6 linked regions of the Ovis aries genome follow. The main gene of each other region encodes a partner of the protein of the gene in region 3 in a complex. Links are inferred from orthologs where the notes say so. Each region holds a gene or a part of one and is shown on either strand. Other genes may lie near its edges. The genes, in order: INTS12, INTS7, INTS1, INTS6, INTS4 and INTS9.

Region 1 (4,100 bases), on a different chromosome or scaffold from region 3:
TATGGGGTCACACAGAGTCGGACACGACTGAAGTGACTTAGCAGTAGCAGCAGAATGCAGGAAAAAAATGGTGTATATATAGGGTGTGGTACTATCCATGGTTTTAGGCATCCACTGGAGATCTTGGAACATATCCTACATGGATAAGAAAGGACTACTGAATAGTGAAAGAAATTCCTTTTTCTTCTATGGTCCTAAAGAGGTCCGCAACTGTGGGGTAAATCTGTCACTCAGTAACGCTGGCCAAGAGAATTCACTGTCTCTTTCAAAAACCTTTCTTCTCCATGAGAAATACTCAGCTCTTCTGGTTTTCCTTTTCTATCTTGGGCTCTTCTTTCTGTGAGTTATCTTTTCAACTCCATTGATCTTGGTATTGCTGAAGTAATTGTGTCCTCGTCTATTTTCTTTAGTTCTGCTACCAGTTTCCTATTTTGTAATCTTTATATATCATGTTTTCAACTAGCATCTGTAGAGAGATGATTTCATATGTTTACTCCCAGTCCATCTCTCTTAAGCTTAAACCCATATTTCCAACTGCTTAATAGACATATCTAACTGGTTGCCCTAATGGTATCTCAAGCTCAGCTATGATTGAATTTGGAATTATGAATATCTTCCCCCCAAACTTCCCTGTCCTGCACTGTCAATAAATGACACACTCTCCATTCATCAGGTCTGAGGCCTAAACCTTTGCTCACTGAATCCTTCCCAATCCCTTAATCTGAACAATCAGCAGGCCTTTCCTGTGAATTCTGACTCTGCAACATTTCTCACATCTGTTGCTGTTTTTCATTTCAAGGCTATTACTCAGATTCAGGTTTTCACTTGCTTTTTGTACTACAGCAAAAATCTAGTTATTCTCCTTGACATCAAGACAGTTGCTATATTAATGTTCCTGCAACACATTTTCTTTCTTTCTTCTTTGAAAATTAAGGCAAGCCACTGCCTTTAAAATAAAGCCTAATTTCTTGGCCTACCATTTAAAAAGATTCAGTAACTGGCACAAAAACTTTAATTCTTCATCCCTAGATCTTCAGTAGGGCAGAGTTATTAGCTGGGCTTGCTACTTATACTCAATTTGTCTGTCTGAGAAGCATTTTACCTTTTTTAATATTTCCAGATCCTATCAAGACCTGGTTCAAATACTACTTCTCATGAGGACTTGACTCATAGCTAGTGTGTTCTGCTCTGCTTCCTGGACTACTAATCCTGCTCTCCAAGGATATCTAGCAGAGCATTCTCATGGTATGGGAGTTTTCTACCTTCAACCACACTTTTCAATTTTTTGGACATTTGTTATAGTCTCTATAAAACTCTCAGTACTTTAAGGGAGGAAGCTATCTTTTTTGCCTGTGTGTGTTTGTGTGCTAGGTGGCTTCAGTGGGGGCCAACTCTACGCAAACCTATGGACTGTAGCCTGTCAGGCTCCTCTGTCCATGGGATTCTCCAAGCAAGAATACTGGAGTTGATTGCTGTGCTCTCTTCCTATCTTTTTTGCCTACCATTTTGCTATTTTGCAAAGTACCACAATATAATGGCCATAGAATTATTAGAGATCAAAGTATAATGATCTTTTCTCTGCTTCTACACAGTTCTAAATATTTCCAAAGTCCCTTAACAAAAAGCTACAAAAAAAGAAACTCAGACCCATCCCCACTAGCTCGCCCTGCCCTCAAACCCTAAAACATCAAAAAGGGAAAGGCAGTACAAAACAAAAACACCTCTTTCAAGACTGGGGACTTGTACAGTGTTCCTATCTGCAACAGTCTCTTGCCAATCCTTCATCTGGTTTAAATTTTTTAATCTCACTAGGCTGTAAACTCCATGCAAGCAGGGACTTGTTTTAGTCACTGTTATATACTTAGTGTTTCGAACTTAACAGACTCTCACAACTATTTGTTGAGTCAATGAACTAGGTTTCCTTTAAATGTCACTTTTGAGGGCTTCTGTGATTTCTCCAAACTAAGTTGGGCATTCATATATTATATGCTTTCCTCTAGATCCCATTTCCCACTCAACACGGCAATCATAAAAGAAATGCAAAGTTGATCTTCATGTGAACGAGATGCAGGAAACTGACCTTATTCACACAGAGAGCAATATTAGGGTTGTCATCACAGAACGGCTCTAGATAGCTCTGCCTTTTCATCTTTGCAAGCGCTTGTAACCCATCCCTTTAAAGATGCTGCCCTTTTTATTCCTTCACCGAGTTCTTGGCCCTAGGTTACACTGATATCTTAGGCACACGTCCGGAAACACAGGTGAGGTGGAAAGACCTTGATTCCAAACCAATCAAGTGACAGAGAATCTAAAAAGTGACCACAGACGCGCAGAACAAGAATGCCAATATTTTGACCAAAGTCGTGACACATCCAAGGCCTAGCACAGGGCAAGGTCTTTGACAAGTGAGAGGCAGACAGAAGGAGCTGTACAGAGAAGTCGCCAAAACCTGCCAAGGAAGGTCCGAGAAAGGGTTCCAAGGACCTAGTCCCTGGGGCTTCCTCTCCGTGGAAGCCCGACCCTCACTGTAAGGAGAAAGCGGTCAGCCTGGGCACTCTACCGCCTGCAGACTGCGAGGCGTCCCCACAGGGAGCGAGAAAACTCTAAGACCCCACGGAACCACTCTCCCACCTCGCCCCTCGCGGACGTCTCAAGCCCCTGAGAGTCGGCTGAGAGCCGGGCAGCCGGTCACTACTCACTATTCACCGCTCCGCCCAGCTGCTCCGTCCGTTGCCGGTGGCCTGGCGAACCGGTGCCAACACCACCAGCCCGCCCCGAGAGCGGAAAAACAAAGGTTCCCGCAGGAGGCTCGGCCGCGGAACGCTTTGACTGTGCGACGGTAGGAAGTGACGTGAGCCTCTCTTTCCGGTCCGCCGGATTAAGAATGACGGCCGCCGCCGCTGCTTCCTTGAAGCGCTTGACGTTCTTTCTCTCGTGGCCTCGTTGGCAGCGAGCGGTCAGCAGACGAAGACTCCCTGAAGTGGCCTCGGGAAACTCGGCTCGGGCGGGGCTGGAATGCGCTGGCGGCCCCTGTCGCCTACCCACTCACGCACCCTCCCTGCCTGGCCGCGCCTCTGCGACCAGGTAAGGAGGGCGCAGTCCCCGTGACCCCGAAAAACCGCCTCTTAGTATAGGGGGAAACAGGATGGACGATGCGGGCAAGCGTGGGAAGGCTCCCGTCCCCTTTCCAGTTTTTCCAAGACCAGTGCCCGTGGCTTTCTCTAACGATGGAATGGAGCAACTTCCAGTTGCAGCAATCTCAGGGGTCTTCTGCCATTTGCTGCTAGGTATAGTTGGTGTGTGGACTTCCCTGGTGGCTCAGACGGTAAAGCGTCTGCCTACAATGTGGGAGACCTGGGTTCAATCCCTGGGTCGGGAAGAAGGCAATGGCAGCCCACTCCAGTATTCTTGCCTGGAAAATCCCATGGATGGAGGAGCCTGGTGGGCTACAGTTCATGGGGTCGCAAAGAGTCGGACACGACTGAGCGATGCTCACTCATGGTTTGTGTAGATTTCTTGGATCATCTTTAACTTTTTTTTTTTTTTGGCACTTAGTTTTCTCTCCCAGCCCTTCCTCATTGGAGAGAGCAGTTGTATGTGAATGTTAGCAAACTGTTGCTCCAGTGAACTTGCTTCATTCATTTGGGGTCATTTGCTTCTATTGCATCATCAAGGCCGTGTTTCACTTTGGTTTAGGATTAGGTGACTTGGTTTTTTCCTTCATTCTTAATGTCATGATCCTATCTTGGATATCAAGAAAATGCCAACACTTAATAATACATCTTGGCAAAAGTATTGCTAGAGGAGATCGAGTACTTCTTTTTCTCCTAAGCGTATGTAGAAACTGTTTAAAAGGGAACATGCAAAAGCAGGCAACAACTAGTGGTATGACAATTTAAACTTTAACCATGGTCATTTAAATAGTGTGGAATAAAATCTTTGTTATAAGTACTACTGAGTAGTTTGCTGTCATATTGAATACGAACATCAAGCTATGTGACTTTTTTTTAACTCCCTGGTGAGTGGTATTTGTAGTTGTTCAGTTGCTAAGTCATGTTACACTCTTTGCAATTCCCATGGACTGCAACACACCAGGCTTC
Region 2 (4,018 bases), on a different chromosome or scaffold from region 3:
TCTTATTCTCACATCCTCAACTAATTCATTAGCCAATCTTGTTGGCCCTACCTTCAAAATACATACATAATCTCAGCACTTCACACAGCTTCACTATAACCTGGCCCAAGCCACTCTTCTCTTCTCCCTGGATTATTACAATCACCTCCTCTCTACAGCAGTAGCCTCGCTGCTATCTGTGTGGCACCATGTATTCAAGCAACCCCAGACCAACTTCCACCTGTAAAATAACTGGGTTGGTCAAAAAGTTACTTTGCGTTCTTCTGTAAGATGTTATGGAATAGAATAACATCTTACTTCACCCAAGGTGCTGCTGGGAGGATTAAACATGATCTAGGACTGACACCTGGTTTATAGGTAAACACTCAATAACCATCTATACACTTCTTACAGGTCTAAAATATTCCTATTTCAACTTTTGGGAAGGAAAAATTGTGTTACATTTTTTTCTTACCACAACTGCAAGTTTTTAGGAATCAAATAATTCTAGAGCCCTCATTTCTTCAGAGTCCCATCCCAATGCTGTTCTACACTACTGCTCTACTCTCATTATGGGATGAGTCCACCCAGACCACAGTGGTAGAAAATCTCTTTAGAGATTTAGTAGAAATATTAGACATGTAGACCTGCAACTCTTATTGGGGAATAAGGAAGGAATTAACAGAATGGGGAGGAAAAGGTTATGCAGTGTTTAAAAAACACATCTGATATTATGATTTTCTATTTCAGAAGGAAAAAGCCCTATAGTTTTTCTTAAGAGAAAGCAAAGCTCAACATCATTTTCTTGGATGATGGACTTGCACTACTATGACTCAACCAAAGGAATATCTCATTGGAGTGTTATGAAATTTTCATGTTGATCAAAGGAAGTTAAAAGTTTGTTTGTTTGTTTTTAAGTCTGAGAAACTCTTATCTGGACCAACTGCACTTTAAATGTCTACAAGGTAAAAAAAAAAAAAAAAATTGAAGTCCCAGAAAAGTTAACAAAGTGTCCAAGTCAGAGGGCTGGGAAGTGGCTCCAAGTGGACTTAAAAATCCTTCTAACTGCTAGTCCAGTTCTTAACATATTACCCACTGGCTACAGTTAATTAACTGTATACCAAGTGATGTTTCCCCCATTCAATAAAAATAACAAGTACACTGAAACAATAGAGTAACTGTAATACTTTGAGTTCTCTACTAAGAAATACCTGCCCTTGCCTTCCAAATCCCTCTCTAAAAGATAAGGCAAATCTCTTCTGCATTTAATAAGGACTTTTTTGCATACTATTACATCACTTAATATTTACAACCATTTTGCCAGCTCAATGGTATTTTCCTCATTTTGCAGAGAAAAAAACCAAGATTAGGTTTGGTTAAATGACATGTCCATGATCATAAAACTAGCGAAACTAGAATTCAACTCAAGTCTATCCAAAGCTTCTACTACTACACCAAGCCTGTCCCATCCCTTCATTGCCATAAGGAAACTGAACTCATTTGCAGAGAATGTGTGTGAAAGTCGCTCAGTCGTATCCGCCTCTTTGCAACCCCAAGGACTATACACACTCCAGGGAATTCTTCAGGCCAGAATAGTGGAATGGGTAGCTTCCCAACCCAGGGATCCAACCCAAGTCCCCCGCATTGTAGGCAGATTCTTTATCAGCTGAGCCACAAAGGAAGCCCAATTAAATAATAACTAAGACTTTATTTTACAGGTTTTTAAGATGACTCTGTTTCAGAGATGTTAATATGTGAAAAAATATGTATCTTAATGGATGAAATAGGATATGTGATGTCTCACTTATTGTATTTTTAGGACTTAATTGTAGTTTCTCAGAAGTAACACTACTTTATTGATAGGCTTCAAATACCCCCTTTAAAACTACCAAATATAGGAAATATAGTTAGAAAATCATCAATCATACACAAGTTCCCAAGTAAGTCCGGATTCTCTAATCTTTCCATTGATCTGACCCTGCCCTTAAAGTACATTGCTTTAATTACACTAAGCTTGCGCCACAAGCGAAGCCCAAGAATACTAGCGTGGGTAGCCTATCCCTTCTCCAGCGGATGTTCCGGACCCAGGAATCGAACCTTGCATTGCAGGCGGATTCTATACCAGCTGAGCTATCAGGGAAGCAGAGAATGAATAGGGGCTATGCTTTTCGGATGTCTTGGCCCTATTTTTGACCTGCCTAGTAACCGGCAGGTAAGAATTACAGAAATTAAATGAATCGCTGTAAAGTCGGTGCAAGAAGCAGCAGTCTTGGTGAAGACCTGGTCTTAACTGCACATACTGAAAAATAATTTCATAATTTCAATACAGCACTTTTAGAAACTGCGTGGAAAATCGCGGGGCTGTGCCCTCAAGCGGTCCAAGCGAGCCTTTAGCGGGAGCTCTCTACTTTTTCAGCTGTACAAGGCCAATCAAGCAACGCTGCCGTTTTCGGCCAACCTCCCAAAGCCGCGAAAAGCCCTGGGCTCACCAAAGGCAAAGGCGCCCGACCCCGCCCCGCCCAGGAAGCACCGCGCATGCGCCTCCCCAGCTTCTCGCGCGGCTACCACCGCCTGGTGGCGCCACTTCCCCCCACACACGCGCAGCCCGCTCTTTCGAAATACCTTTGTCTAACTCCATAAGGGCAGAGTTAGCATCCAGCTCCTGTTCGCCATAGCCGGCATCTGCCAGAAAAGACTTAGTTGAGTTTGACGCCATGACCCATACAGTTACTCGATTAGCCTATTCATAGAGATTGCAAACTCGGCCCCACCACCGCCATCTTCTTCCACCACCTTCTCGCGGATTTTTCCTCCGCGCTCTGTCAAGCCGTGTTACGCATGCGCCCTGGGCTCCCTGCCGTTCGCCAGCGCCCCTGCGGCCCCCCGCGCAGGCGCTCAGGGAGCTCTGGAACGCTAGGTTCCCGCGGCTGGGCGAGAAGGAGGCGGGGCTTCGAAGGGGGAAGTGACTCGTACGCTCCCGGACGCCGCTCCGAGAGCCAATCAGAGGGCGTGACGTCAGTTTGGCGGGGAGTTTGGTGACCGGGGCTTACAGTGGCGGGAGTTGGAGGCAATAACTTAGTCGTGGTCTAAGGGGCGCAGGATACAGTTTCTGCTGAATCTGGAGGCATTTCCACGGCTTTTTCCTCAGTTGAGCGTTTTCCTCCGTCCCAGATGCTGTTCAATTCGGTGCTCCGCCAGCCCCAGTTTGGCGTCCCGAGAAATGGTGAGTAACGGCCCTAACCGCTGTTTCTTGCCGGCGGGATTCACCTCCCCCAGAACAACTCCTCGGACCAATGCCGATTTCAGTTCAGTTTCCCAGCCGCCGAGTTCTCCCCCAGCCAGAATGAGTTCGTACTAGCTAGGAATACTGAAGAAAGCCGCACTTTAGTGCCCTCGAGATAGTTTTCGTCGTAATCGAGGCTTTTTTTAGTCGTGTAGGCTGAGGGAGGGAGGGACGTTGAGTTAACTGACCTCCATTACGGTTTATGTCTGTTTTGCACGTTAACTGGAAGACGCGTGCATTTGAGAGTGTTTGGCTTTCTGAACGAACAGCTGTGTGAGATCGTCAAGGATCGTACGCATTGATTAATTCATTCATTTGTAGTGGAAACTTAGTGAGCCCTACCGTTTGCTATATACACCAGAGAATAGGATCGGCTCTTAAAAAGAACTCAGTCAGGCAGGGAAAACAGAACATCTGCTTCTAGCATGGTCAGAATTTTTTCTTCCTGATTAATTCAAGGGTATAAAAATTCGTAGTAATACAGTGAAAAATGCCCGTAAGCACATTTCCCACAAATGACCACTATTAATAGATTGAAGTATTTTATTCCAAAATGTTTTTCAATGCCAGAAGTAGGAAGTATTGTTATTTATGGAAATGGGGTTAAAATGTTTTATCTCTTTACTTTTACGATAGAACTTGGAAATACTTCCATGTTAGTATATAGGCTTCCAATTTATTCTTTCCAGTTCTTGAAGTTCCTTAGGTTAAAACATTGGCAATAAGAATTTTGAGCTTTAGGTTTGAGTGTCATCA
Region 3 (3,500 bases):
GCTGGTGTCCGCCAGAAGGGTGATGAAGCGGTGGATGAGGCCGTCCAGCTGAGACGGGCAGGAAGTCACGGCCAGGGCCCTCGCAGCCTTCATGCCCACCTGCCCACCTGCCCACCAGGGCTCAGCCCCGAGGGCCTGGCACAGTCCCTGAGGACCCTCATGGTGTCCCAGAGAAACCTGCCCCCGCTGCTTTCTGGGGCTTCAGAGGATCAAGCTGGCTGTAGCTGGAGGTCCCGGCCAACCTCAGCACACAGTGCGACGTCAGCCGCTCACCGCAGACAGACCAGAAGCCCTGAACTATCTCAGGTGAGAAAGACCGACCCCACAGGTAAAGCTAACTTCAGGTGTGTGACACGGGACACACACAAAGCAAAGAAAGCACAGCTAAAGAAACGTCGCTCCCTCCTCCTCCAGAGACGCAGGGCTGGAGGCAGACCTGACTCAGAGCCCTGCCCAGGGAAGGCGGGGAGGGGGCAGGGAGACCCACCACAGCACCCCCCCCCCCCCCCCGGCACCACTGAGAGGAGGGGAAGGCAGATGCTGAACACAGAGGACCCACACTAGACAGGCGGGGGAGGCAGGCAGCCAGGAAGGGACACGCTGTCCACACGGGCCCAGCAGAGAGGCTCTGAAGTCAGCACGCGCGCAGAGAGTCTGCTGAGACTCTGCTGACGTGTGGGGACAGAGCAGGAAGACAGGGCTCAGGAGATGTCACACCCAGCGTGCAGCCTGCGGTTCTCAACAGTCCCCATCACGGAATGAGAGGGATATGGGGGGATGCCTGCTCTGCCCCGCTCCACACCTGGAGGACTTCCCGGAGGAGGAAGGACCCTCCAAGAGGTCAGACAGGAGAGGGCGGCAGGGTGGGCTCTGCCCTCAGATACTCATCCACACTCACCGAGTTCTGAGAAAAAGCACTTCCCTACCTCCCGGTCTGGGTTCCCACCCCCAAGCAAAGGAGCCAGGCGCCCTGTGGAGCCCGTCAGGCCTTACCTTGCAGACACTGCTGCCAGCGGCCCCCTGGCTGTGCAGCAGGACGTCGGGCAGGGGCACCCGCAGGTCCGGCCGCTGCAGGTAGAGCTGCACCAGCAGATCGCGGCTGCACCGGCCCAGCACGCTGCAGGAGAGCAGACGCAGTGGTCGCGTGGCCGGGGCAGCTCCCACCCCCGCGCGCAGTCTGAGCCGGGCGGGCCCTCACCTGTCGCCCCACTGCTGGACGCAGCCCGTCAAGTGTGCCGTCACCTTCTTGATGCCTTCATCACCACCGTGGCAGCAGCTCAGCAGCAGGGGCAGGCGCGCCTGGAGCAGCCCGCAAGCACCCGCATCCCTGTCCTGGCTGCGCGCCTCCGCCTCAGCCAGGATCAGCTCCACGAGCCCCACGAGCTCCGCCGGCTGCACCCGCAGCACCAGCTCCTCCCGCCGCTTCTGCAGTTGGACGCCGTCGGTCAGCCCCGCGCGGGACGGCCGTGCCTGGGCCACCCCGCCCTCCGGGCAGGGGACACCCCAAACCTGCCTGCGGGGTGCGCTGGTCCCTGCCCTGCCAGATCCGAGGAACATGGATGCAGGCCCAGAGGAAGTCAAGGGAGGCCGAGGGGTCAAACCTGGGGGAGGCGGGGAGGCCAGACCCAGCAGGAGGCGTGACTCTGGGCGGAGGGAGGTGGATGGGACGGGCAAAATGCCCCGTCAGCTGGGACCCTGGCCGGCCGCAGAGGACGTGGGCCACCCACCCAAGCTCGTCCAGCCCTGCCCCCACCCACCCTTGCTTGCAGCCATGTGGCACAAACAGCCCTTCACTGTGACTAGAGCACAGGGGACCGGCCACCCAGAGCAGGGCCACCCGGGCCTGCCAGGTCCTGAGGGGGCCAGAGTGGTGCTGGGCCAGATCCCCCGGGCCAGGCTCCCAGAGGAGCTCTGCGCTGGGCGGCTCCACACAGCCCTGGGTGACAAGGAAGGAGCCGGCCTGATGGGTGGCGGGGGGCTCACCTCTGCTCCCGGCCCCGGCCCAGCAGGATGCGGATACACTGGTGCAGGGTGGGCCAGCTGGACTGGTGTGTGAGCAGGGCCAGCAGGTAGGGCCGGAAAGATGGCACCTGGGGGCCAGGGTGGCCTTTGCCCTGGGACGGAGGAAACCTGGATTGGCCTCCACCAGGCTGCCCAGCTCTGGTGAGTGGGGCCGGTGGACAGCAGGCAGCCCGTGGGAGGCAGCACAGGGCAGAGAGAAGCCGTCACTTCAGGGCAGGGCCTCCCAGGCTAGTGGGTCCCTCCGCAGATTAAACGTGGGCTGAACTGAACCCACCTCTCAGAGCGGGGACACGCAAGCAGCACTCTGGGCGCAGAAGTGTGACCCACACCCTCAGAAACGCAGACCCGCCAGCACTGGGCAGGAACAAGGGCAGGGGTCACACAGCCCCTCCCCGGCCTCCCGGTCAGTGTTTCTGCGTTTTCCCACGGCCTGAAGGGCCCTGAGGCGGGCTCTAGCCCCCACCCCTCGTCAGGGGAGCTGGGCTCCACTCCCTCCAGCGCCCTGTGAGGACCTGGGCCCACAGGGAACAACCCCGCCCCTGCCCTCCCGCCTCTGTGACCAGATCTGGCCGGTCGTGGCAACTGGCTCGGCACACTCAGGACCTGTCCGGCTGATGAGACTCCAGCCTGGGGCCTGTGAGAACCAACAGGAAGAGCGAGTGCTGGGCACGGCGAGGCCCACCTTGCCGCGGGAGAAGAGCAGCCTCTGCTGAAGGTCGGGGCAGCTGCCGACCACCTCGGGGTCCAGCATCTCCAGCCAGTCGACAAGCAGCCCCGAGCAGGGCCCCAGGCGCTCGGCCTCCTGGCTGCAGGGAAGGGGGCCGGGGGTCAGACACAGCTGCCCGGGGCTGTCCCCAGGCGCGACCGCAGCCCCGCCGGCTCACCTGCAGCTGTCGGCATCCTGTTTCCCTGGGACCAGGGGCTCCTCCTTCTCCGGCAGCAGCAGCGAGCTGACCACCGCCACGGGCCCCGAGGCTGGGACGGAGGGTGCAGCGGAGAGGAGCGCGGCCAGCAGCTCCTCCAAGTGAGGTGACCTCGCCGCAATCAAACCCCGGAGAACTGCAGGGCAGAGGGGGCGCCCATCACACGGGCCCCGGCTCCAGGATAGACAGCCCCGCTCCCGGGGTTCTGTTCTGCTGGGGGTGCCCGGCAGAGGGACTCTGGAGTGGCAAGGGGGTCCTCAGTGGAGCCCGCGGCCCAGATACCTTTGCTGATGAGCTCGGGCTCCACGTCACACTGCTCCCCAGACTTGAGGGTGGCCACGAGGGCACGCACGGTGGAGCTGACCGCTTCCGGGTCCCCGCGGAACGTCAGGGCCTCCACCAGGTGCAAGAACCCACTCCGCACTGCAGGGGAGAGTGTGACTGGCTGGACCCCCGCCAGGGCCCCGGGAGTGGTCCCCCAGTTCCCACACACACTCCCTCCCCGAGGGGCCACCCCTGGGCCCCGGTCCTGAAACCACTGTTTCCTGGAACCAT
Region 4 (4,062 bases), on a different chromosome or scaffold from region 3:
GAGTATTCGAGGAACTGGGGGAATTCAGGGAGAAAGGAAGGGTTCTTTCAGATTTTCCAACAGCCTCTCTTTCAAGGGTTGGGAGTTTAAAAACAAAATTCTGAACCTGCCATTTAATTCAAGAATGGTTTCAGAATTCTTCCTGCAGTGGCTTACTGAACACACTTTAAAAGCTGAGAAATCTTAATGTACTCAGCCAGTACACTGAAAATCTTTTCACCTTTCAGAACTGTTATACAACACAGTTAAACTAAGCCCTTTTGCAACAAATAGAATAATTTCCTCTAACATTTTAAGATCATTTTAATTAACTAGTGTCTGTCAGTCATTGCAAGGGTTGCAGTTGCCAGTGGGTAGGCCATCAGAGAAACAGTGTGGTGAAACAGGATGTTTTCCTTTTATTTCCTGAGTGAGCTTTAAGAGATTAAAACTAAATTTATGTCAACTTTATAGCATTCAGATTCAAATTCGGAACCCAAATACATTTTAAAAAACAAAAAACAAAAAAAAACCTGAGAGCTATAAAACCATATACATTGTGGTCAGAATTCCACTTTGTATTATGTGCATACTGTATTTTAATCTGCAATGTTTCATATTTGTATTTCACAGTATATAGCTTTTGGACTGGGCTGCTTGTCCACAGAAAGAAAAATCAACTGTGTTTCCACCTTAATATTCAACCTACCTGCCCATAGTTGTCTATGCCAGTTACTAATCTATTTAAATTTAATAAATCAAAAGCTGTCCTTAGGGATTGGCCAAGAGTCGTAAGTCCTTCAGCTTGAAGGTTTTTCAGTTCATTCATAAACGTTGCATGGTTTTCTTTCCATCCGGCCTGAAAAGAAAAATGTGAGAATTTCTTTTTTTCACCTTTTAAAGCCAGGTACACACGGACGGTCGTTAACAATCTGCCGTTCACCAAGCAGCTGCTCGACTTTACAGTACGGTTTGGGGTAAAGTGTCAATGCCGTCTCTCTGCTAAAGAAACTCTCTTCCAGAGGTGGCCGAGAATAAACCTGCTGGCTCTACAGCTTTCCGTGGCTACCAGCCTTAATACTTCATAACTTCCCGGGGAGATGCACTCCCCAACCTCGTGCCCAAAAATCCGGGGATGCAGAGGTATTGGTGGAAAGCAGAAGTGAGCAGCACTTCCGAAGTTCACCCGGAGCTGCCCCACCGGCCCCGCGGCCCTCTCGGGGAGAATCCGGAGACCCGGCCCCGCTGCACCCCACCCCACCCCACATCGCAAGCCCCCCGCCCGTCGGCACGCCCCGGCCTCGAGCCGATTCCCCTTTAATGCAAACCCGGGCTCTGCGCGGCCGGGCCCGGCTGTCACTCGGGCTAACTTGAATAAATATCCCCCACAGTTCATTGCTGCCGCTCACGCCGCGGAGGGGAAATGTCGGCCATGTTGATCGCCGCGCCGCCGCCGCCGCCGCCGCCGCCGCCGGGCCGGGCTGGGGAGGGGACGGCGGTGGCCCGGCGACTCCGCGCCGCGCCGGGACGCTCCGGAGCGGGGGGAGGGGGTGGGAGCCCGCAGGGGAGAAGACCTCAGCGCCTAGAGCACAGCGGGTGGGGGAGGGGAGCATAAGGAAGGGTGAATGGGGGGGCGGGGAGGGCGAGAGAGGAAGGGACGGGGAAGGGGAGGGGGAGGGCGAGGGTTGTTACCTTGATAGCATAGGGTGGCTCTTCGAAAGTGACCAGCATATACCTGTCTCCTCGGCTGGCAGGGTCCCGGGCACGGAGCTGCGGGAGAACGGGTGGAAAACGGGAGCAGGAACAGGGCGGGCGAGAGGAAAGCACACAGGCGAGGTTAGCAGGCGGAGAAGGGGCGCCCAGCGGCCCCGCCGCACCCCCCCCCCCCACAGTTACCGCACACGCCGCGGCCGCCCACCCCCCCAACACACAGACACACACACACACATCGGCCCCTCACACACACACCGCCCGGGGCCGGAGCCCGGGCCCTGGCCGAGCCCGGCTCGCAGCGCCCGGCCGCCCGCCCGCCCGCGCGGTGGGGGAGGGGGTCCCCGAGCCCGGCAGCTCCCGCAGTCAGGTCCCCGACACCTCCGCCTCGCCGCCCCTGGCCGCCCTCCCCCCAACCCCTGCCGCCCGCGGGCCGCCGGGCCGGGGTCGCCCCCCGGGCTCGGTCGGTCGGTACCTTCATGAAGGTCTCTACCGCGCCTTTGGCCGTGTCCAGGTAGGTGGTGCCCAGATGGCTGCGCTGGTTCATAGAGGCAGACGTGTCTATCAGGAACAGTAAGATGGGCATAGTGCTGGCCGGGGACACCGGGGCCCGAGGTGGTGGAGAAAGAGGAGATGGTAGAGGTGGAGGCGCCGGTGGCGGCGGCGGCGGCGGCAACCGCCGCTAACGCGGGGCGGGGGAGCGCGGCCCCCGGGAGGAAAACACCGTCTGGGTCTTTCCTCCGGCTGCGGGGAGTTTCTCCCCCGATAGTTGAGAGGAAACTCCCCGGACCCAGTCCTCCCCGTCGTACCCCCGCCTCCTCCGCCTCCTCCTGCCTGCCTGCCCGCTGGGGCGGGCGCCCGGCCGTCTGTCTGTCGGTCCGTTCCCCCCCCGCCTCGGGGGTCCCGTCCCCGCTCCCGGCCCCTGTGTGTGTCCCAGCGGGAGACGGGCCTGGCTCCCTACCCCACCCCCGGCGCAGGGAGTGGGGACCTGGGAGCTGGCGAAGAGGGGAGTGGGCTGAGGGGAGATTGGCCCTGGGGCTGTTGGGAGAAGTTTCAGGGACTCCCTCCGCACCCCGGCGGTGTCACCACTTTCTCAGCCCCTCTCGCTACTGAAGCGCTTTTCTCCCTCACACTCCGGTTTTAACTCGGGCAGGGGCCGCAGAGGCTCCGCCCTCTGACACGTCCTCTGGCCACGTGACGCACCGCCCCGCTAGTCTATTGGCTGGCCCCTGGCCTCTTATTAGCATATTCAAACAGCTCTGGGGCGGGGAAAGCTTGGAGGCCGGCTCCGGGAACAGTTATGGAGCACGCGCAGAGGCGGGGCGTCGGGTGCGCGCGAGAGCGAGCGCGAGGGGAGAGCAGGCGGGCCGGCCGACGCGGAGGCGGGCTCCGGGAAGGGGCGGAGACTGGCCACGGAAGGGCCGTGGGGTGGGGGCTGCGTCGGCGCGCCCAGGGCCGGCGCGGCTGTGAGTCTGCGCGTCAGGCACGGCGGCCTCTCCTTGGCTGTCGGAGGTGGTAGGGGTCGGGGGAAGGGAAATGGAGGTTGGCCTCAGCTCCTCTTCTGAGGTCTTGGTAGCGAACCCCTTCCCTGTGGGCCAGTGAGGAGGGATGAGTATAGCGTGATCAAAAGCCCGGGTAGGAGTCAGCGGCAGGCCCGCGGTCGCCCCCCAGAGGAGGGCTCTGGGCCGGCGGTCGTCGGAGGAGGTTCCTTGGCCCTCGGAGGGCCGGCCCCGGCGCGGGCGGGGCGGGGGAGGGGAAGTGAGAGGTTGTTTATGACCAGGGACTAATCTCCTCCGCTAGTCACACCGCTCCCGCTGGGGAGTGGGGACCACGGGCAACCCTCGCCCGCAGCCGTGCTTGGCCCTGGGCAGCGACCGAGGGCGAGGGCTGGACCTGGCCAGTACCCCTCTCGTTGCAGGACCCACCGAAAAGGATATAAGCCATTCGCCCCCCACCAACTCAGCCCTAAAAGGACAGTCGGGAAAGATGCAAATATCGATAAACTGTTTATAGCCCTTTTTATACTGGGAGGGAAATAACCCGTCTTACCCAAAGAAGTAACCTCTGTCAAGCCATATTTACTTAGAGCCATCGAATGTTAGTTTTCAGAGCTAAAAGGGACGCTGGCAAATCATAATCCATTACTCTTTATTTAAACAAACTGACTTGGCTGCCCAGGTGACACGTAAGATTGGTTCTGCATAACCCTTCCAGTGCTCTTTCACATACACTGTATCAGGCTCCATCCAGATACTGCATGAGGGAAGACATTCTCGGTTAAAAACCAGCCCCTGTCATCAAGCCAGATGACATAATGAATCTTAAATGTCCGAGGAAAAGTTTCCTCAAATATGCTAGTCGACAGTTTGACTT
Region 5 (4,082 bases), on a different chromosome or scaffold from region 3:
GTACAAATAGATGAGTGCTACAGAAGTAGGGGAGGAGAGACTAAAGCAAAATCCAAGTCCACTGGGCGGAGAACAAAAAGAGCAGGAAGAGTGACACCCATTCTACGTAAAAGAGACAACAGACACAAAGGTTCGGAAAGGTCCAAACACATGGCATGCTGGAGGAGCGGTGAGTAGTCTTGGCGAGAGGAAACAACAGAATATAGTAAAGAAAGGAAGTGATACGGCCCAACAAAGTGAATGTACATGTCGTCACTGAACTCCACGCTTAAAAAATGGTTACAATGATAAATTCTGTTATGTTTATTTTGGCACAATTTGTTTTTCAAATGGGGGCAAAGGAATCCAGAGCCAGGAAATCCCAAAAAGCAAGCCACGGAAGAGGGAGCTCTGTAAAGCTTTCCTGAATCTTGACTCACTCTATAAGTTCAAGAAAACGAATTTTACATAAAAAGGAGCAATAACAGTGACAAGGTAAGTATCAAAGTTATTTTCAGAAAAAAAAAAAGAATAAGAAGCCAACTAACTTCCCTACACACAATGGAAATATGCCACACACACACACAAGAAAAAGGCAGTGAAAGAATACTGTTAATCACAAAGGGCAAGGGAGTTTGGATAGTTTTCACAAAAAGTAGTTGTAAAAGAGTAAGGAAGACTTGGTTTGTCGATGCAATTACCCCTCTGTACTATAATCTCAGATATGGTGCTCCACATCTCCCTCTCACCTGAGTTCCGAAAGGACAGACACCCTAATGTGTACTGGATTTTATAGCTCAGCACCTTTCACCATACCTAATATTGATACATAGTAACCACTACTTTATTCAATAAACTCTTGTTGAAGGAATAAATGAAATACTTAAGGATCAGCGTCCTAATGCATGGTCTAAATCTTCCTAGGCCACAAGTCTATGGATGGAAACCTGCTATTGGCTGGCATTAACCGGGGGCTTTTCAGAAATGTAGATTATTGCCTTGCCTCCCCCAGCCAATTCACTTACTAAGTAGAATCTACATTTTAACAAGAGCCCAGATGATTTGGATACACAAAGTCAGAAAAGCAGGACACAGGGTATGACCTGGGATCAACCTCTACTTTAGCGATCTCTCTGAGGAAATACATAGAGAATCACTGACTGCTGACACTCCTTGGAAGGAAAGTTATCACCAACCTAGACAGCATATTCAAAAACAGAGATTACTTTGCCAACAAAGGTCCGTCTAGTCAAGGCTATTGTTTTTCCAGTGGTCATGTATGGATGTGAGAGTTGGACTGTGAAGAAAGCTGAGTCCCAAAGAATTGATGCTTTTGAACTGTGGTGTTGGAGAGTCCGCTGGACTGCAAGGAGATCCAACCAGTCCATTCTGAAGGAGATCAGTCCTGGGATTTCTTTGGAGGGAATGATGCTAAAGCTGAAACTCCAGTACTTTGGCCACCTCATGCGAAGAGTTGACTCATTGGAAAAGACTCTGATGCTGGGAGGGATTGGGGGCAGGAGGAGAAGGGAACGACAGAGGATGAGAGGGCTGGATGGCATCACCAACTCGATGGACATGAGTTTGAGTGAACTCCGGGAGTTGGTGATGGACAGGGAGGCCTGGCATACTGCAATTCATGGGGTCGCAAAGAGTTGGACACGACTGAGCGACTGAACTGACTCAACTGACTAACTGACACGGTCTGGGCCCCTCAGTCCTGAAACAACTCCAAAGGAGGAAGGATGGTACTGCCCTCCTTTACAGGTAAACTATAAAAGGTTGGTGGTGAGCTGTTCCACCAACGAAAACTTCAACCCCTATGAAGCCTGTGACTCTCGTCTGCTGTGACTGGGTCTTGAGGACTCCTATAGATTCCTCTTCCAAACCCTTAGAGCTCTGCATACAGCCAACTTGGCTTTGGGCACTTTTTTGGTAATGGGAGTTGCAAGGAAATTTGTCAATACCCCACCAGAAGTCTCAAAGTCCTCATTTGTAAAATGAAGATGCTAATGAACTGCGGTGTTTGGGGAAGCCTCTTGAAAGTCCCTTGGACAGCAACGAGATTAAACCAGTCGAACCTAAAGGAAATCAGTCCTGAATATTCACTGGAAGGACTAATGCTGAAGGTGAAACTTCAATACTTTGGCCATCTGATGCGAAGAACTGACTCAATGGAAAAGACCCTGATGCTGGCAAAGATTGAAGGCGGGAGGAGAAGGGGACGACAGATGATGAGATGGTTGGATGGCATCACCCACTCGATGGACATGAGTTTGAGTAAACTCCGGGAGTTGGTGATGTACAGGGAGGCCTGGCGTGCTGCGATTCATGGGGTCGCAAAGAGTCGGACACGACTGAGCTGCTGAACTGAAGGTAACATGAAAAAAATAAGATAACAGATAAGATACTTTCGTAAATTGCAAGGTGCTGTTTGCTTCTTCTAATAGTTTTTTTTAGTGTCAGACTGCACATGTTAATACTGACAACAGCAGCGGCCAATGAACACGCCCACTAAAGTGTAGTCAGAGAGGCAGCCTACCAAAGCACTGGCAGCACTGACACCCTACCCAGCTTTGTGGCGCCAGTTCTGGCAAAGTGTCTGGGGGCGCGGATAACCTACCTTCCCCTTTCCCAGACCAGTCCTGGGACCTTTCCTTCTAGAGCTTACCTGAACCACCTTAGTGAACTCCTCATAAACCCGCTTCTTCAGATGTGCCGCCATGGTTGTTCGTGCACCTTCTCAGCTTCCGTACCCGACGGGGCTGAGGGGGGCAGAGGAATACGAACAAACTTGCCCAGGAGGGAGGAACCAGCCGCTGTCCCACAAGGCAGTGGGGTTCCGGGAAAGAGAAGCCGCTTCCGGCTGCTCGACTGCCTTGTCGCTGTGCGTCCGGATTTAGCGACCTACGCCTGCCGCGCGGGAGGAACGGAAACCGGAGCCGGAGCGTAGCACAGGGGGCGGGGCTTCTGGCAGGAGGAGGCGGGTCGGAAAGGCTGGAGGAGCCAATGGGAGCTTTGGGGGGCTTTCTGTTGGGTTTGAGTGACGGAGGGAAACGGAGGGTCGGGGGAAGTGCTTCAGTGTAAAGGGCGGAGGTGGAGCTATCCAGAGCTAGAGGTAAAACCTGGAGCTGTGTGAGGATTCTGACTCAGAAGATAACACAAAGAGGTCAGACTGACAGCTCCATCATCCATTGCTGTTCTCAGTATTTGCTGTCTGTCCCCTGTGCTCGCCTTTTGATCGAGCTGTTGCTCAGAAACTGGGTTTGCCTTCTGGTTGTTGTCAAGCCTGAAGACCCAACTAACCAAAGTTCCAAAGAAGTAAGGACATATTACTTGCAGCAAGTAAGGAGAGCACAAGCAATCTTCCCCAAAGCAGTGTCTCCAAACAGCAAAACTGGGGACGCTTTAAGCTAAGTGTTAGTCGCTCGGTGGTGTCCAGCTCTTTGAGACCCCATTGATCGTAGCCCACCAGGCCACTCCATCCATGGAATTCTCCAGGCAAGAATACTGAAGTGAATTGCTGTCCCCTTCTCCAAGGGATCTTCCTGACCCAGGGATCGAGCTCAGGTCTCATGCACTGTAGGCAGATTCTGACCTACCACGGAAGCCTAAGGGTGCATGCAAATTCATTCATGAAGGCGCTTGAGCAGAGGAGAATTCAGCATTGGATTGGGGAGAGGTCTACAGGGCCCAAGCTTTAGTTGATTGAATTCAAGAGGGTCGACATCACCGCTCCATCTTCAAGGTGAGTGGGGAACATTAGTTCTTGCAGAACTCAAAGACATATATCAGATTGTTACATATATCTTTTAAGGAAAAACTGGTTTTTGACTGCAAGGAACAAGAAAACGTATTTCTTTTGTTCCTTCCTTCCCTCACTTCTCTCAAGATAATTAATTAGAGACCTGTTCAAGGACAAGCATTGTGGTCAGGCTTAGATCAAACAATGGCTTAAGCCAAAAATGGCTTTTCTTACATCTTTTTCTAGGGACCCCCCCCCCTCCCTATCTGCTTACAAAGCTGTATGCCACCCCTCCAAACCTCTCCTGGCCTAGGGTACTTTTTCCTGCTCTCTCATTCCAGTTGTTGAAAAGCTACCT
Region 6 (4,252 bases), on a different chromosome or scaffold from region 3:
AAAACACGGTTCCGGAATAAAATATTAAGAACACTCTTCCTTTCCCACCTAGCTACCGACTTAAGGATGCAAAAAGCCATCTCCACCGCACCTCATCTCTCCGAGGCGCCTGCCCTGAGTTTGCGGTGGAGCTGGTCCCGGGAGACGGGGAGGAGTGTGAGCCGCCGATGGGACACAAACGAGTTGCTCCCCGAGGCCACCCCGCGCCGCTCCGCTAGCCCAGAGGTCCCGGAGCCGCACCTCGCGCACGCCTCTCCGCCCAGGCCCAGCTAACAGCTCCGACTCCGGCTCTCGAACTTCCTCTCCTGAGACATTTATTCAAGGCTAACCCATCGCCCGAGTGCACGTCACCCAGTTTCAAACACAGCTCTGCACCCCAAACAAACCCACGCACCTCAAATTCCCCTCACAGTTTCCCAAACTCCAAACTGGAGACCCCACCTCCAGGATTCAAACCTTCCGCCCACTGGGGAGGCAACCAGGAGAAAAGAGTTGGGAGCACCCGACGCCTTTCAATTACTGCCCCCACAAACTGCCCCACCCCAGACCCTGCGTTCGGGTCACCCCCGCGAAACCCCACGCTTCCTCCTACCTCTCAGTTGGGCCGCTTAAGACACTCATCCCCAGTCCACTCACTTACTCCCCCCAACACCGCCCCCCCCCAAAAAAAAAGTGAAGAGAAAGAAGTGAGGAAAGAGACTGGAGAGACTTGAGGCTTCCAAACCACTCGACTCACCTCAGAATGCTTGCTGAGTTCTCTCCGCCCGGCACAGCCCCCTCCCCAACGTCCCGGTACGAAGGGCTGAGGTCTGAGGTAGGGAGGAGGGGAAAGCGGGAGGGGGAGGGGTGTCTTCCGCGTGGGGCGCCCGTCGGGAGGGGTCTGGGGAGGGGTTGAGGCCGGCGCAGGAAGAGGAGAAGGGGGAGGGGAGGCCCCTATCTCCCAGTCTCCCCCTGAAAAACCTCCCTTGTCTCAATCACATCAGACTGACTGTCTTTGTCTGGCTGACAACCGCCATATTGATATCAACAGCCCCGCTCCCACCTGCTGCCACCGGGCGGCCCTGGGAGTTGTAGTTTTTGTCTCCCTTGAGTAAAGGTGCGGGACTCTGCGTCCCGAGGCCCCAAGGAACTACAGCTCCCGGCAAGTACCGCGCCAGTGCGCCTTCCCACAGGGAGGAGGGGAAAGGGGCGCCAGAGCCGTAGGGACTACACATCCCAGCATACCATGGATTCTGGGCCCAGATGAGGGACATGATATCATGCTGGGGTGAAGAGGCAGGATGAATTGGCGGCGCGGATGAATTTGAGCTGACGGAAGGAGGCGTTCTAAGAGGAGAGGAAAAGGAAAGATGACCACGGTTCCCATGATGCACGGAGAGATGACTACATTTCCCATGATGCACCGGGAAGGAGCGAAGGGGGAAAAAAGACTGCATGTCCCGCGATGCTCTCGGCGGGCCCGTCGTGGAGATTGAACCGGAAGACGCTTTCTGGGTTTGAGAAGTCGAGGAACTGCTCCTTACCAGCCAAAAGTCCAGCATGAAACTGGTGAGTCTCTGCTCTTAGATCGGAGGGCATATCCTTTTGGAATTCGTCGTTTCCACCTTGGGAAGGGAACCGTCGCGGACGAGGGGTGGCAGGAAACTAGAAGGTGGAGTGGACCAAGGAAAGCTGATGTTTGTTGTTGAGTTTGAATTCCAACGCAGACCCTTCACAACTGCTAGATGCAATTCATCCCTTGGCGCGGCCCTTTTGGTTAGATAAGAGATTGAATCTTGTCACCTTTCTTCACAAACGAACCAAGGTTGGACTTTATGAACCAGGTTTGATTTGTTTCCCGCCTGCCACGTGAGTGTTATAATTGGTACACTTCTTTCCACGGGATTGATACTTGAAGCGTTCCTTTTTACAGTTGTTGAGAAGGTTTGGTAACATGAACAGAGTTTAGAAAATTCTAGGCCGATCTTAATCTCTTATTTAATTCTCTGTTATAGACCCCTAACTTCCCTTGATCACTCAAAGGAGGTCGAAGTCAGAGTGTGATCTTGGATGGTTTGAGTCTTAAATTCTGTATAAGATGGGCTGAGAGGAAGTGTTAACTGGCGTTACAGTCTAGAGCTGTAGGGACTGCGTGAGCTAAGGTTATATGGAGCATGCCAGGATACCTGGAAAAGTTCTGCATCACAAAACTTGAGACGCTTGGCTTATAGGAAAGCTGTTCAGGCTTTTGTTTTGAGCCATTTAATTCTCAGTGTGCACAGATTTAACTAACTTACTCCAACTAATTAATTGGAATTAGTAATAGCATAATTTGAGTAGAGAAGGTGTGAGATGCTGTTTCTCAGGCTTTAAAAGTCATGTTCCTGCAGCCAGGTATTGTCAGGCTTTACTTTCTGAAGTTTCTGAGGAAAAACAAAAGGTTTCTCTTAATTATTTGAGCATGCTTTTGAAAAGTACGTGTGTATGTACCCACACACGGTACAGGCATATATATTCTGCACAGTGTCAGCTGTTCTTTGAGATGGCAGAGAACATAAGAAAGGTGGATTCAATTCCAAAACTGTCTCTATCTAAAGCTGTTTCTATTAGAAGGACGCACAGATCAGTAGACCTTGAGAGTGTCAATTTGCTTTGGAGTCAGTTTTCCAAACATTTCAAAATGCAGAATTGAAAATCACCACCCTTGTCCTAAAGAAGCATGCAATCTAATGAAGAAGATACAAAGTAATGAAAAAGTTATAATTCACCTCCATCTGGGTGAAAGGAGTCATCATGTTTAGGGTTTGCTGATTGAGAGGATACTGGGGGTATGTGGGGGAGTCAGATACAGCTCCTTTGGAAAGGTAGTTCTTGAACTGATAAGAAGGTCAAGTGCGCTGGGGCCTTCCTTGAAGAGGGTTCAGCTGAGAGAAGCCAAAGAGCTTGGCACCTGAATGGTTGAAACACAGACCAGGTGTCGTCAATAAAAGATAAATCATGGTTGATGTGTGTGGTGCGAAGGCAGGCAAGTGGGAAGCAGGTTTTTTCCTATAACAACTCATTTGCTGATTGTATCAGAGCCAGGGTTTAATGTACATATACTTTGGTTTGCTTATAAAATTCTCCTGCTTACTTTATTTAGAGATGTGAAAACGTGGAAAAAGTAGGAACATTTTTTTCCTTTAAGAACCATAAAATGCCTCAGAGGAAGAGGGATTGTTCTATCTATACTCCTTCCCTCTTTATTGTTCATCCACCTAATAACTAAAACTCATTTGGTACTTGATGATTTATAATACAGGAGTATCTTTCAGAAACACTGACAGCAAGTTAGACTTCTTTTTTGTCCTGCCTCCCATACAGTTGGGCTTTCCAGGTAGTGCTAGTAATGAAGAATCCACCTGCCAGTGCGGGCAACTCGAGATGCGGGTTCGGTGCCTAGGTCAGGAAGATCCCCTGGGAATAGGAGATGGCAACCCACTCCAGTATTCTTGCCTGGAAAATTCCATGGGCAGAGGAGCCTGGTGGGCTACAGTCCATGAGATTGCAAAGATCTGGACATGACTGAGAGTGACTAACACTTTCATTTTTTCTTTGTAATATCAGGCAACTTTTTTTGAGGAAAATTCATCTTCAATTAATCAGGACAATTTTGAAAAGAACAGGAAAATTAGAAACATATCCTCTAGCACATTTTAGAGCCTATTCTCCTTTTAGTATCGATTGAACCTGATTGGGTATACCCTGATGGCCAAATTCAGCAAAGCATAGAAAATTGAACTCACCGGGGTCTTTAACAAAAGACTTTGGGAGCCCCCCCCCCCCCGCAAAAAAAAAAACCAAATTCATTGACAGAAATCAAGTTTGAAACATCATGGCCAGGAATTTAGTCATTCAAATAGATGAACGTTAAAGTGAATAAAATAACTAGCGGTTCAAAAATAAATCATTTGTCACACTTCCTGTAGATAGTTCCAGAGCTGGAGAGAATCCTCTAGTTTATTCAGTCAATAAGGATGTATTATACAAACACAGTATACCCGTGGCATTCAAAGTTTTAATACTTTGCATTTTAACTATTGAATTTGACCCCAAGGATCAATGACATGGAATTATTTGTAATTTTGCTGAGACGAAAGTTTGAATGTGATTTTAAGATGACTGATAATCCTTAGTGAAACGAGCCTGATTGCCTCAGAATCCAGGACTTTCTGCAGTTCCGTTGCTCTCTTGTTAAAGATCTGAAAGAAAGGTCACTTAAACGCTCGTTCTA

What was found.
Region 1: INTS1 (region 3) and INTS12 share a complex: the UniProt entries of both Homo sapiens proteins name them as parts of the integrator complex. The link is inferred for Ovis aries from reciprocal best matches to the Homo sapiens genes INTS1 and INTS12.
Region 2: the proteins of INTS1 (region 3) and INTS7 are in contact, whole or in part, in a cryo-EM structure (PDB 8RC4), measured with the Homo sapiens proteins. The link is inferred for Ovis aries from reciprocal best matches to the Homo sapiens genes INTS1 and INTS7. Residues at the interface, in NP_001073922.2 of Homo sapiens: Leu1378, Gln1381, Gln1382, Gly1385, Gln1386, Ala1389, His1429, Phe1430, Leu1431, Cys1433, Pro1434, Arg1437, Gln1438, Cys1440, Gln1441, Pro1476, Ala1479, Gln1480, Met1483, Leu1484, Gln1487, Arg1552, Pro1554, His1555, Leu1556, Glu1557, Glu1558, Pro1613, Ser1614, Gly1616; in NP_056249.1 of Homo sapiens: His150, Asp151, Leu187, Ala188, Thr189, Pro190, Val191, Lys194, Thr223, Ser224, Tyr225, Pro226, Ser227, Thr228, Asn262, Asp263, Pro264, Arg265, Lys266, Pro303, Tyr304, Gln349, Glu350, Cys352, Tyr353, His354, Asn355, Arg357, Ala360, Gln384.
Region 4: INTS1 (region 3) and INTS6 share a complex: the UniProt entries of both Homo sapiens proteins name them as parts of the integrator complex. The link is inferred for Ovis aries from reciprocal best matches to the Homo sapiens genes INTS1 and INTS6.
Region 5: INTS1 (region 3) and INTS4 share a complex: the UniProt entries of both Homo sapiens proteins name them as parts of the integrator complex. The link is inferred for Ovis aries from reciprocal best matches to the Homo sapiens genes INTS1 and INTS4.
Region 6: INTS1 (region 3) and INTS9 share a complex: the UniProt entries of both Homo sapiens proteins name them as parts of the integrator complex. The link is inferred for Ovis aries from reciprocal best matches to the Homo sapiens genes INTS1 and INTS9.

What each region holds. Positions count from the first base shown.
Region 1 is NC_056059.1:19,838,465-19,842,564, reverse strand, and holds the start of INTS12 (integrator complex subunit 12), read right to left. Parts: upstream 2,801-4,100; 5' UTR 2,632-2,800; intron 1-2,631. UniProt on the Homo sapiens protein: Component of the integrator complex, a multiprotein complex that terminates RNA polymerase II (Pol II) transcription in the promoter-proximal region of genes.
Region 2 is NC_056065.1:70,951,704-70,955,721, reverse strand, and holds the start of INTS7 (integrator complex subunit 7), read right to left. Parts: upstream 2,801-4,018; 5' UTR 2,696-2,800; coding exon 2,602-2,695; intron 1-2,601. Other genes in the region: DTL (denticleless protein homolog), read left to right, coding at 3,151-3,202. UniProt on the Homo sapiens protein: Component of the integrator complex, a multiprotein complex that terminates RNA polymerase II (Pol II) transcription in the promoter-proximal region of genes.
Region 3 is NC_056077.1:41,825,879-41,829,378, reverse strand, and holds part of INTS1 (integrator complex subunit 1), read right to left. Parts: intron 3,369-3,500; coding exon 3,228-3,368; intron 3,082-3,227; coding exon 2,907-3,081; intron 2,829-2,906; coding exon 2,705-2,828; intron 2,115-2,704; coding exon 1,984-2,114; intron 1,644-1,983; coding exon 1,514-1,643; intron 1,426-1,513; coding exon 1,199-1,425; intron 1,118-1,198; coding exon 994-1,117; intron 49-993; coding exon 1-48. UniProt on the Homo sapiens protein: Component of the integrator complex, a multiprotein complex that terminates RNA polymerase II (Pol II) transcription in the promoter-proximal region of genes.
Region 4 is NC_056063.1:21,225,868-21,229,929, forward strand, and holds the start of INTS6 (integrator complex subunit 6), read right to left. Parts: upstream 2,801-4,062; 5' UTR 2,276-2,800; coding exon 2,165-2,275; intron 2,001-2,164; exon of another isoform or gene 1,750-2,000; coding exon 1,672-1,749; intron 1,562-1,671; exon of another isoform or gene 1,308-1,561; intron 839-1,307; coding exon 689-838; intron 1-688. UniProt on the Homo sapiens protein: Component of the integrator complex, a multiprotein complex that terminates RNA polymerase II (Pol II) transcription in the promoter-proximal region of genes.
Region 5 is NC_056074.1:15,619,332-15,623,413, reverse strand, and holds the start of INTS4 (integrator complex subunit 4), read right to left. Parts: upstream 2,801-4,082; 5' UTR 2,705-2,800; coding exon 2,651-2,704; intron 1-2,650. UniProt on the Homo sapiens protein: Component of the integrator complex, a multiprotein complex that terminates RNA polymerase II (Pol II) transcription in the promoter-proximal region of genes.
Region 6 is NC_056055.1:103,363,042-103,367,293, reverse strand, and holds the start of INTS9 (integrator complex subunit 9), read left to right. Parts: upstream 1-1,452; 5' UTR 1,453-1,539; coding exon 1,540-1,548; intron 1,549-4,252. UniProt on the Homo sapiens protein: Component of the integrator complex, a multiprotein complex that terminates RNA polymerase II (Pol II) transcription in the promoter-proximal region of genes.